2 linked regions of the Caenorhabditis elegans genome follow. The protein of the gene in region 1 purifies or fractionates together with the protein of each later gene. This does not show direct contact. Each region holds a gene or a part of one and is shown on either strand. Other genes may lie near its edges.

What was found. Proteins that work in one complex are often made in the same cells at the same time.
Region 2: the proteins of metl-18 (region 1) and srbc-45 fractionate together in Caenorhabditis elegans (co-fractionation; one large-scale study listed by BioGRID). This does not show direct contact.

What each region holds. Positions count from the first base shown.
Region 1 is NC_003281.10:3,423,331-3,429,839, forward strand, and holds metl-18 (protein-histidine N-methyltransferase), read left to right. Parts: upstream 1-2,407; 5' UTR 2,408-2,410; coding exon 2,411-2,575; intron 2,576-3,240; coding exon 3,241-3,393; intron 3,394-3,443; coding exon 3,444-3,562; intron 3,563-3,568; exon of another isoform or gene 3,569-3,662; intron 3,663-3,761; coding exon 3,762-3,860; intron 3,861-4,524; coding exon 4,525-4,678; 3' UTR 4,679-4,764; downstream 4,765-6,509. Other genes in the region: golg-4 (GRIP domain-containing protein), read left to right, coding at 1-160, 700-939, 1,276-1,413; K01A11.1 (Spaetzle domain-containing protein), read right to left, coding at 5,090-5,209, 6,250-6,382.
Region 2 is NC_003283.11:12,801,107-12,806,381, forward strand, and holds srbc-45 (Serpentine Receptor, class BC (Class B-like)), read left to right. Parts: upstream 1-2,467; coding exon 2,468-2,571; intron 2,572-2,620; coding exon 2,621-2,700; intron 2,701-2,750; coding exon 2,751-3,295; intron 3,296-3,336; coding exon 3,337-3,444; downstream 3,445-5,275.

The DNA.
Region 1 (6,509 bases):
AGTCAAGCAGTTGTACAATGAGTTGAATGATAAAAATCAGCAATTTGATATGGTTCAAGAGGAGTTAACACGACTGAAAACTTCAAAAGAAACTGCTGAAAATGGGCAATTACAAGTACAGAAACAGATGGATGAAGAGGATAGAAGAAGCGAGTTTTCGGTAATAAATTGGGAGAAAATGGAGGAAATTTGGATGAAAATCGTCAAAAATGAACTAAAAACCGCTAGAAATTCGAATTTTTGGCTAAAAAAACTGGAAAAAAATGGCTGAAAATTGTTTTGAAAATTGGTAAAACAACTGAAAAAGAGCAATTTTCAGCTCAAAATTTTGAATTTTCCGTTAAAAATCGTGTGTAAAACCTCAAAAAATGTATTTTTCTAATGCTTCCAATTAAAAATAGCTAGAATTTTGGAAAATAGAGTCATCGAGTTTTGGCAGAAAAGCTGTCGATTTTCAGAAATTTCTGCCTGTTTAATGGAAATTTTCTCGTTTTTTTTAAACGAATATTCGAGCGTAAATTCAAGTTTCTCGGACATAAATTTCAGCAAAAATCGAGTTTATGCTTCGAATTTAACATTAAAAAATTTTTTTTTAAATATTTTTGTCATTTTTCCAACACTGACTGAAAATCTCAAAAAAAATCGAGAAATTTTCAATTTTCGAGCACTAAATCCCTAAAAAAGCCCCATTTTTTGCAGTTCAAAGAAGAAATTGCCTCGTTAAAACAAAAGCTTGACGCCTCACTAACCGAAGCAGATGATCTACGAATGCAAGTCTCACGGAACGAGAAGACGCCACGATCCAATGGAAATGCTTCAACTGGCAGAACGAAATCTATGGAATTACACGGAATTGCTGATCCGGCAGAAGCTGAATATCTACGAAATGTACTATATCGATACATGACTAATCGAGAATCTCTTGGAAAAGAATCTGTGGTAAGGGGAAATTGAATTTTTGAATTTTTGGGTGAAAAATCATGATTTTCATGCAATTTTACACTGAAATTTTTCCGAAAAATTGCCAATAATTGGGCGGAGCTTAATCTAGAAAAAAAGTAAAAAAAACCAATAAATGGGCGGAGCTACTTCTAAAATTTTTGAAAAATTGCCAATAAATGGGCGGAGAATTTAAAATTAATTTAATTTAAAAAGAAAATTTAAAATTTTCAAAAAATAAAATTAAGTCAATTTTTTTGAAATGTTTAGTTTAAGCTCCGCCCATTTCTTGGCTCATCTCGTAAAATTTGAACTAATTTTTCTAAATTTTTGCAGACATTGGCCCGTGTAATTGGAACTGTGGCCCGATTCGACGAGTCTCAAATGAAAAATGTGATAAGCAGTGAAGAATCAAGGCAGGCAAGCTGGGCGGCAGCTGTTGGTGGAACTGTTAGCCATGCGTTGAATCGATAATTCGAAACTCTAATTTTTGCTCAATTTTCTCTCATTTTTCATGTTTTTTTGTGTGTGAAACTGACTAATTTTCTCTCAGAATGTGATAGCCAAGAAATGGGCGGAGCTTACGATTTTTGTCGAAAATTTTTGGATTTTTTTTTCAATATTTTCTATGGAAAAAACCGAAAATTGAATTTTTTGAACCGATTTTTTGAAAAATTATTTTTAAAAAATTTTCTGCGATAATCGCAATATTAGTTTTTTCTTCAAAAAAAATTCAAAAAAACTAATTTTTAAATTTTCCACAAAAAAAAAAAATTTCTAAAAATTGGAATTTTTCGAATTGTCTATCAAAAAAAACGCTCGTAAATCGACACTGAGAGAAAATTAGCCAATTACAGGCAAAATTACGTCTTCTTTTAGATTAACCCCCGTAATTAGAGTTTTTTTTTCAATATTTTTCAAATTAACAAAATTCTTTTTTTTGGATATACCCCCTACCGGTTATTAGATTTTTGAAAACAATATCCCCCGATTTTTTTCTAATTTTTTTAAAAATAATTTTTTTTTTCGTAGAAATTCTGTTTCCTCTATATTGTTCTGCTTTATCCTCCCAACGACTGTGATTAATCGCCGAAAAATTTTTAGATTTTTATTTCAATTTTTTTTCGAACAATTTATTGTGTATATATACGAGAAATATATATGTAATAAAATTTTTTAATTTATTTCGAAAAAAAAAATTATTTTTATTTTTTCAAACTTGCGTTAGATTTTTACCAATTTTGATATTTTATCGGGTTAAAAAATTTTTTTTCAGATTTTTTGAAAAATAGTTGATATTTTTCGGGAAATTTCCAGATTAAAAAAAATCATATTTTTCAAAAAAAAAAAGATCAAATTTTTTGGAAAATTTCAGAATTTTTTAAAAACTTCCGGGTTTTTTGAAACATTTCCAGATATTCCAAAATTTTTAAAAAATCAAGTTTTTCGAAAAATTCCAGATTTTTTCAGAATGAACGTGCTGAAGCTCACCAATGGCCGAGAAATCTCCTACTTGAACGAAGTGGAAATTCGAATGGGAATTGATGAGCTTAATGGAGAAGAAAGATACAAAAAAGAGCTGGAAAATATGGAAACGTCCGATATTACAGTTCACAAATATGAGGGTGGATTTAAGGTGCTGATTGTGACGTGAATTTTAGAAAAAAAACGACATTTTTGACTGAAAATTGGAGTTTTTTTAATTAAAAAAAATTATTTGGGAAAGTGAAAAAAAAATGGAAATAACTTGAACAAACATAAGAAAATTTTAAAAAATCGAAAAAAAATCGATAAAATATTGTTTTAAAAAATTTGAAAAAATTAGATTTTTTCTGCATTTTAAATTTTTTGAGTCTCCTTTTTTCTGGAATTTTTAAAAATAATTTTGAGAATTTTTCAGAAATTTTTGTGAAATTATCCGATAAACTAGGTCCTATTTTTCGTGTTTTTCACTGATTCTAATTGAAATTTGAATTTTTTTTCCCAAAATTTTAAAAAATTCAAAATAAATATATATTTGGATTTTCTGCGAATTTTATATTTAGAAATTCAAATTTTCAGAAAAAATGTTTTTTTGAATTCTATTTGCGATTTTTTTTTAATTTGAAGCGTTCGAAATCTAGTGGCATAAAAATTTTGAGAATAGCGTTTTTTTTCAATTTTCTTTCAGAAAAAAATTTGAGAAAAAAATTGAAATTTTGAAATTAAATCCAATTTTGCAAAAAAAAAAAAAATTCTTCTAATATAAAAATTTAATGTTTTTTTTTAAATTTAATTTTTACTTAATAAATAAATTTGCAGATCTGGGAATGCACCGTCGATCTTTGCGACTATATCGAAGAAAATCAAACGCTTTTCGCCGGAAAATCAGTTCTAGAGCTCGGCTGTGGAGCAGCTCTTCCATCAATTCTCACGGCGGTACACGGAGCTAAGGAAGTTTTCGCTCAGGACTTTGTAAGTCTACGAGATGAGTTAAAACAAAAAATTAATCTAAAACATTGCAGAACGCGTCAGTCATCGAGTTCTTCACACTTCCAAACTTCGAAGAAAATCCGCATTCAGCAGTTGTTCAAGGAGAAGCAATGGGATGGGAAGAGGTTCCGAATCGATTGAGCGGAAGAAAGTAAGCAGCAAAAAGACATCAGCCCAATGCGGGGCTCGAACCCGCGACAACCAGATTAAGAGTCTGGTGCTCTACCGACTGAGCTAACCGGGCGGCGATGTAGACTCGTCTTGGTGGACGTTTTGTATAGCGCCCGGCTGGAGACGGGGGGGGGGGGGGGCCTAAGACGCAGAACTTTATGTTATATTCCATTTACCAGATTCGACTTCATTCTCTCATCGGAAACCATTTACAACGAAGATGACTATCAAGCTCTCCACGATGCGGTCGCTGCAACAATCAAGGATGACGGAGTCGCGTAAGATCGTTTGTGTCGATTTACGCAGCAGCTCGTGTATTCCTCGAGGAGAAGAGAGTTTTTTTTTTAAAGCTTGAGACCGTTTTTTTTCTGTACTTAACATGATATTTGGCAATTTTGCTAGACAAAAATCGCAGAAAATCGATTTTGATCACGAAAAGTGAACGTTTTTTGTTGGTTTTTGTATACAAACAACCTTTTTTGTCGAAAAATTTTTTTAAAAATTAGAAAAAATTTTTAAAATGTTGAATTAGCTTTAACGCTTCTTCCCCTTTTTTTAATATCAAAAAGTTCTGAGATTTTTTACCATAAACTTTTTTTCGCGGCGAGACCCATTCTTAAGAATTTCTTAGCGTTTTTAAGTATAATTTTCGATAAAAATAGTTTAAATAAAAATTTTTTTAAAAATCTATGTTTTCTGCCCAAAAAATTGTTTTTTTTAATATTCCGATTAAAATAAATTTCATTTTTCTTTGGTTAAAAAATCGTGTCGAAAAATATAAAAAATATTGAATTTCCTTGAAAATGAGTCTCTTTTCATTGAAAAAACCCACACAGAATACGAATTTTTGCCGAAAACTTCTCCTCGAGGACTACACGAGCTGCGTAAATCGACACATGGAAGAGATTCAAACTCTTCCATTTTCAAGCCCTTCAATTTCAGATGGTTCGCCGCGAAATTCTTCTACTTTGGCGTCGGCGGAAGTGTTCCAGCATTCTGCGAATTTATCAATCAACGCGGAATTCTTCAAGCTTCTGAGGCAAAAGTGATCGCCGCTTCAGTGCCCAGACGGATTGTGGAGATTCGGAAAAAATGATTTGAATTTTTTCGTCTTTTTGTTGTGTTTTTTATTTGTTAAGTTGTTCAAGAATTGTCCTTTTTCAATAAAAACTGTTTCATTTCAAGAAAAAAAATCAGTCGTAAAATGCACACCTACCCGCCATTAGTTTGTAAGTAGAGAGAATAATGAGAAAAATGGGAAAAATGGAACGTTTTGTACTGACAATTTAAGCAGCAACACGTGGTGTCAGAGTGTCTCATTTCGGCTTGATCTACGTCGATCTACAAAAAATGCGGGAGACGAGACGCAGAGTTCTGCACTGATGCTGTATGGTTAAGAACGTGATGGCGTCACTTTTTTTAGGCAGAAAAAAACTCCCGCATTTTTTGTAGATCAAACCGTAATGGGACATCCTGACACCACGTGCGCAAAAAGGGGCTAAAATGACTAGAACTCCTGATGACCGTATCGATCCACTGGCCACATACATTGACAAGAGATTGGAGCATCTGGAATTGTAAATGGATGCCAATGAATTGAACCAACACTACGACGAGACACGTGTACCTAAAAGAAATTAGGAATTGAGTGTGTGTGAAAAACACTATATTTTACGCGCAATTTTTGTGGAAATTTTTGGGGAACCCAGAAAAACACTAAAGTTTACAGAAAAATGTATTGGGAAAAAGGATTTTTCAAGTAGACAGTGCGTACTGCGCAACATATTTGACGCGCAAAATATCTCGTAGCGAAAACTACAGTAATTCTTTTAATTACTACTGTAGTGCTTGTGTCGGTTTACGGGCTTTCGAAATGAATTTTTTTCGAATACTGACATCGATATTCTATTTTCCCTCATTTTTTCGTATTAATTTCTATTTTTGCACAATTTTCATATTTTATCGATAAATAAAAAATTTGAACTCATTTCGAAAAACAAGCTCGTAAATCGTCACAAGCACTACCGTAGCCATTCAAAGGATTACTGTAGTTTTCGTTACGAGACATTTTGCGCGTCAAATATGTTGAGCAATACGCATTCTCTGAATTTAGTGTTCCCGTAATAAAACAATTTGCGGGCTTCTTGCATCATATTTTACGCGCAAAATTTTTTGAAATACATGGCCACGCTCTCCTCAAGTGTTCATAATTATTAGAGCGCGCTCGAGCGGCACCTCACGAACTCCAGAATTCGCGGGAATTCGTTTTTCCATAGAAGCCAAAAATAGCCAAAAACTGCTGTCCCGGCGAAACGAATTCCCGCGAATTCTGGAGTTCGTGAGGTACCGCACGAGTGCGCTCTAATAATTATGAACACTTGAGGAGAGCGTGCGTGGGAATTTGAAACTACTCACAAAATATGTTTAATTATTTACTTTTTGCTCAAATAATTAACAAAAATGTTTTTTTTTCAAATTGTCTTCCGAAAAATCACAGTTTTCTCTGTGATTGCACAATTTTTTATTACTAAAAATTTGAAAAAAAAATCACATTTTTCCAGAATTTGCCCGTAAAACATGGTGCATTGAGTGTGCTCACACAATGCGTCACACCTTACGCGCAAGAGTCCATCTACAGCATTTTCGCTGCGAGACCCAAGAACTCACATCTGCATACTGCTGCACACAACGTAACATTCCCTTGAAACACGTCTGTTCTTGACCAGACAGTAGACTTCCAATCGGTGATTGACTATTTAGGCAACGGACTTCCACAACAAACGGAGGGTCAAATTCGTGACTGGAAAAATTGGAAACTTGAAGGTCCCGGTGAAAGTGCGCTCTATTGAGACAATCATAATTATCTCAATGGGGCGCGTCTTTAATATAAGACGGTACAAACTTTTCAGTTTTAGGATCTCTATTTC
Region 2 (5,275 bases), on another chromosome or scaffold:
CCTGACCAGTTCCTGCAATACTTGTTTCGTGACGTAGGGATAAGCGTTGTTTTGTTGAAAGTAGAGTTGCTCGTCCTTCAGGGGTGAACGATTGAATATGTTCCTTAGGTTTTGTGGTTAGATAACTTAAAGGTCCCCATTAACTATTTTGCCCCCAGGAAGCAGTTCCCAGTTGATGGGGCCGTACACTCCCCACCACACTGAGAGCATGACGTTTTTGGGGTTAAGGTCGGGTTTGGCGGCACCCTGTGGGGTTTCTCCTTCTACAAACCACTGGGCACGCGTGTGGTTCTTATCATGGAGGACCCACTTCTCGGTTCCAGTGATGAGTCGGCCCAAACATCGATCGGCCCCATGGAGAGTGAGGGGTGAAATGGAATCATCCACTCAAAAATCATGGTTGGCTTGTGTCGAAGAGTGAGGTATGAATCGACCCATAATTTTCTTCATTCCAAGAGCTTCCCAGCCCCGTACGATGATGGTTTGATAGGATTGAAGTGCGGTTGACAGCTCACGGGAGGTTTGGAAAGGATCCGTTGCCATGGCTTTCTGCAACGTGTCCAAATCCAATTTATGGGGTCTCAGAGTCTTCGAGAGAAAAGTCGTCCTTTTCGAAGTGATGGAACCAAATGTATATAGTATTATAGTGGCGGACATGTCGATGATAAACATCCTTCAGGAGACTTTCCGAATCCTTCATCGTGGTATGAGAGAGAAAAAGGTGCATCGAACCATGTCGGATGTGGATGGCACTAGATAAATACATTGTCGGCTAACTGAACTCAGACCAAAGGGAAAGGAGTGGGGTGATTTTCAAAATGAAGTTCCTTTACTCGTTGTTATACCCTAGCAACAAGGGAACACCAAAGTGCAACTGCGGCTAGCGTTGGAAAAGCAAACCCAGTCACAAAGATTTCCGGTTCAACCTAATATTTTGCAGAAATTTATTTTGTAAGTTTATTCTGGTTCCTGAGAGTTAATACTGATAACTAATTTCAGTAAAACATGGAAGAAGATAGAATATCAACTAATTTTTATTGCGAGTTAGGCGTTTGCAGAACATATGTTGAAATTTTCTTTGTTTAGGTGCTATTTATTTTATAAGTACTATAATTACGTTAATATTATCAGAAATTGTTTCGAAGTTTCATTCTTTGTCGGTGTTTTTTCTAACACGTTCCTAGAAATGAGATCTTGGATTGCCGCAATTATTTCAATAGAAAGAATGATGGCCACAAAAAAGTGATTCGATTACTTTTTATCATTACCGATAAAGGCTCTCCAACATTCCAAAATTTGCATTTATTTTATTTAATGGTGTTCTGAGTAACGTTGTTATGTTTGGGTTTTGTGAATTGCGACTACCTCTAGAAACAGATTGCACAAGCTTTAATTGTGCCGCCATCCCTCCATGCAGTCAGGTATTATCAAAATTTTTTTAAACAATAAATAATAATTCTGCATTTGTATAATCAAAATTTGAGTTGTGAATGTAATTTATCATTGCACGTTTCACTGCTATTCCAGTAGTTTCAAGCAATCTCGAGAATTATTTTTTGCACAACTACAGTATGCTTCACTGCAATATTATGCTCCAGTCTGTGTTGGTTATCAATTAATAAAAGAACAGTTACTCTAGCCCTTCGTAAAGCCAACTTTATGTCACTGACTGATGGATTATCAACACTCTTGTTTGATTTGATTCCATCTTTAATTTTTAATTCTGGACCCATTGAAATTGAAGTAATTAAAAAATTAAAAAATTGTACAATATGCATATTTCTTCAGAACCGTGGTCCGGTAATGGGTGCAAATCGTCAAACTGGAAGATTGGTGGAAGCGATTGTAATGGTGAAGCTGATGAAAACGACGAAGTCCGTACAGACGACAATTTTCTCAAATATTATTCGAGTCAACGTGAATTGGTGAATGTGATACATGTACATATATTGTAAAAATATGAGAGAATTTAATGTTTCAGAAGATACAAAACGACGTTTTAAAACGCCGAAACTATATTTTATCGATTTGAAATAAAAATGGAACAAACCAATGTACTCACAAAAAGTTAGAATAATCATTTGAAATAAAAACAACAGATAGGTTTGAAGCAGTTGTAACTCATCTTTTTTTCCAAATTTTGGAAAACTGTGCAATCTTGTTTATACAAAGATGGCTTATTTTTCGAAGTACCGAATTTCCTCTACGGTAACGCTCCAGGAGCGATGACTTGCTAAATATCATGGATGCACTTTGAAATCAAGATCTTACCAAGCTACATAAATTAAAAGTAAAAATGGAGATAAACATTTTTCTTTTCTTCTTATTCATACCTTGGTAAACGACAATACTCACGAGAATAAAATAATTATCACCGTCTCGTCTCAAATAATCAGAACAACTCATTTCAAAGAGTCATACCAAGCAGGAAGATTTTGAATTGTTATTCACTCGAATACTTTCAAAAATGGAGAACTTATCAACGGCTTACTATGTTTTTCATTCGGTTGGCATTTTAATGATATTTTCCAATTTGGTGTTAAATTTGCATATTCTACGAAAATTTGTTAAGTGAGTCGATATATTTTTTTTGTTTGTATAAAAAATTAAAAATTTTTAGCGATTGGAAAACATGGAAAAAGATTGATTACCAATTATTTTTGGTTCGTATCATTTTAGAAGTCATAAATATGTTTGCAGGTTGACATAAAATGACAAAAACTATTTATGTATATTTGATGAATTTTCAGCTGTCAACTACTTTGTTTTGTCTACTGTAGATATCTTTTCTGATATAATTCCTTATGAATTTATCATTACACCGGGTATAATAGCTTACAATTTTTTTGAGGCTCGATCATTTCTTGCCGCCATCATTTCTGTAGAACGAACTCTCGCAACAACAACTCCAATATATTTTTATAATTATCGAAAAACCATCTCTAATTTTCCAATTTATATATTTTTAATTACAACTTCAATTGTATGCAACACAGTTCTTTTTAAAGTCTGTAATTTTCAATTCGAAAGAGTGGATGGATGTGCAAGTTTCTACTGTTCATTAACTACTTGTTTTCAATCATATGCTGTTATAACCCGGATAATCTATACATCTACCAATATTGTTTTCTCTACTATTTTAAGCATACAATTGATATTTCTTTCATGTAAAAGCACAAAAATATCCAGCGATCTTCAAAAAGCTAACCTTTTATCATTGACTGATGCTATATCAACATTCATTTTTGATCTTCTGCCATCTTTAATAATCAATGTTCGACACATTGAAATCAAGGTTCGAGATAGTTAATAATTTTAAAGTAAAATTTGATTCAGAGTCTTGGACCAATAATCGGGACACTTCGTTCAACAGGACGTTTAGTTGAATCAATGGTTGTGGTTAAACTGATGAGGAAAGATACATCGGTTAATCAAATGAGATAATAAGTTTTATGACGACATCGAACTTTCAACCAGTGCAAATTTTACTTTGAAAATTAATTCTTCTGTGGATGAAAAGTTTGAGAAAAAAAAATTCGTGTTGCGTTTTTCAGTCATATTTTAGTATCATCAATGTTTTCTGAAATTTGTAACTACCGTTTTGAATAAATTCTTAGAAAAAAAATAAAGCTTCAGTTTTATCTGCTACTGCGCACATTACATATGTTTAAACTTATTGGTCTATTTTGCTGGCTATTTTGAAAAAGCCACACAAATGCGAATACGCAAACACTTTGGTTTTCTATCCATTAATTCACAGCTCTGAAACTTAAACTGTCAGGAAATTCAATGTTTTCACGAAGAGCCAGTTCATCGTGCCCATGGTATGCGTATATTGTGCACTATAGTAATGTTGATGGTCTTTGGAAACAAATGCACGTGACTTTAACAACTCTCAATTCGAAAACGAATAACATACTGCGTAAATATCGTTGCTTTCGTAGAAGGCAATCCTCATAACATATCATCTTGTATTCCGTTTGATCAGAATCTAAGTGCTCATTTACGTCTCCTTCCTTTCTTTTGCTCTCACTCACTTAAAATGGTACTGCTTACCGTCGCTTATTCGATTATCTTCCTTATTGGAACTTCAATGGCATTTTTTAAAGCTTTTCTAAATTTTTATATTCTACAAAAGTTGATAATGTGATTATGTTTCTGAATTTTTCTATGATAGATAATATTTTTAAGTTCTCAAAAACGGGAAAGAAAATCGAATATCAATTGGTGCTCTTTCTTGTTGTGCTTGACGCGTTCAATGCACTTATTGGTTCATTAATCTAATGGAAAATTGAAATAATATTTTTCTTACAGCATTCATTTACTATTGTTTGTCTATAGTGGAATTTTTCGTCAATAAGCTTCCAAACGAAATTACTTTTATGTTTGGTTTAGTGTGTTTTAGTTTTATGGAAATGAGATGTTTTCTTTCCGCAATTATTGCAATTGAAAGAGTAATTGGAACAGCGACTCCTATAAAATTTCATAACTACCGTAACCGAGTCTCAAATATACCGATTTTTCTGTTTGTTTTTGCTACTGGCGTATCACTAAATGCAGTTCTCTTTGGTTACTGTGGATTTCGCCTGGAACCAAATCCTAATTGTGTGAACTTTTTCTGTTCTACTCCTCTCTGTTTTCAAGAATATTCTTCAATTACTCGAATATTTTATTCATCGATCAATATTTTATTTTCGACTATTCTTTGCATTAAACTATTTTTCATGTCTTCTAGTCAAACATCGGATCTTCGAAAATTGAACTTGATTTCCTTAACTGATTGTTTTTCGGTTTCATTGTTTGAACTAATCCCGTGGATTTTGTTTACATACGAAATTGTTAGCGATGAGGTGAGAAATTATTTTTTTGAAAACTGATATTTTAATTTACTATTTTCAGGGTCTTGGGCCAGTTGTTGGAGCTTTTCGTTACACGGGAAGAGTATTTGAATCAATTGTAATTGTGAAATTAATGAGAAAAGATTTGGTGAACCCGCGTGGATTAATGATTACAATAACATAATAATCACAAAAGGAAGAAAAATAAAATTGTTGAAATTTTTGTGATTTTTTTCACACCGCAAAAACTGAAAGGGAAATTCAGTTTACTGTAACTTTTCTCAGTAAAAAACTGTTTCCAGTGAAGTATAATCAACTTAAAGCTAGACGTTAAACAAGTAAATTCTCTCGAAAACTCCAGTTCATTGAAATCATCGTTAAAAAGTCAAAGCATCATATTTACTTTTCAAATTTTGACCATAATATCAACTATTAAT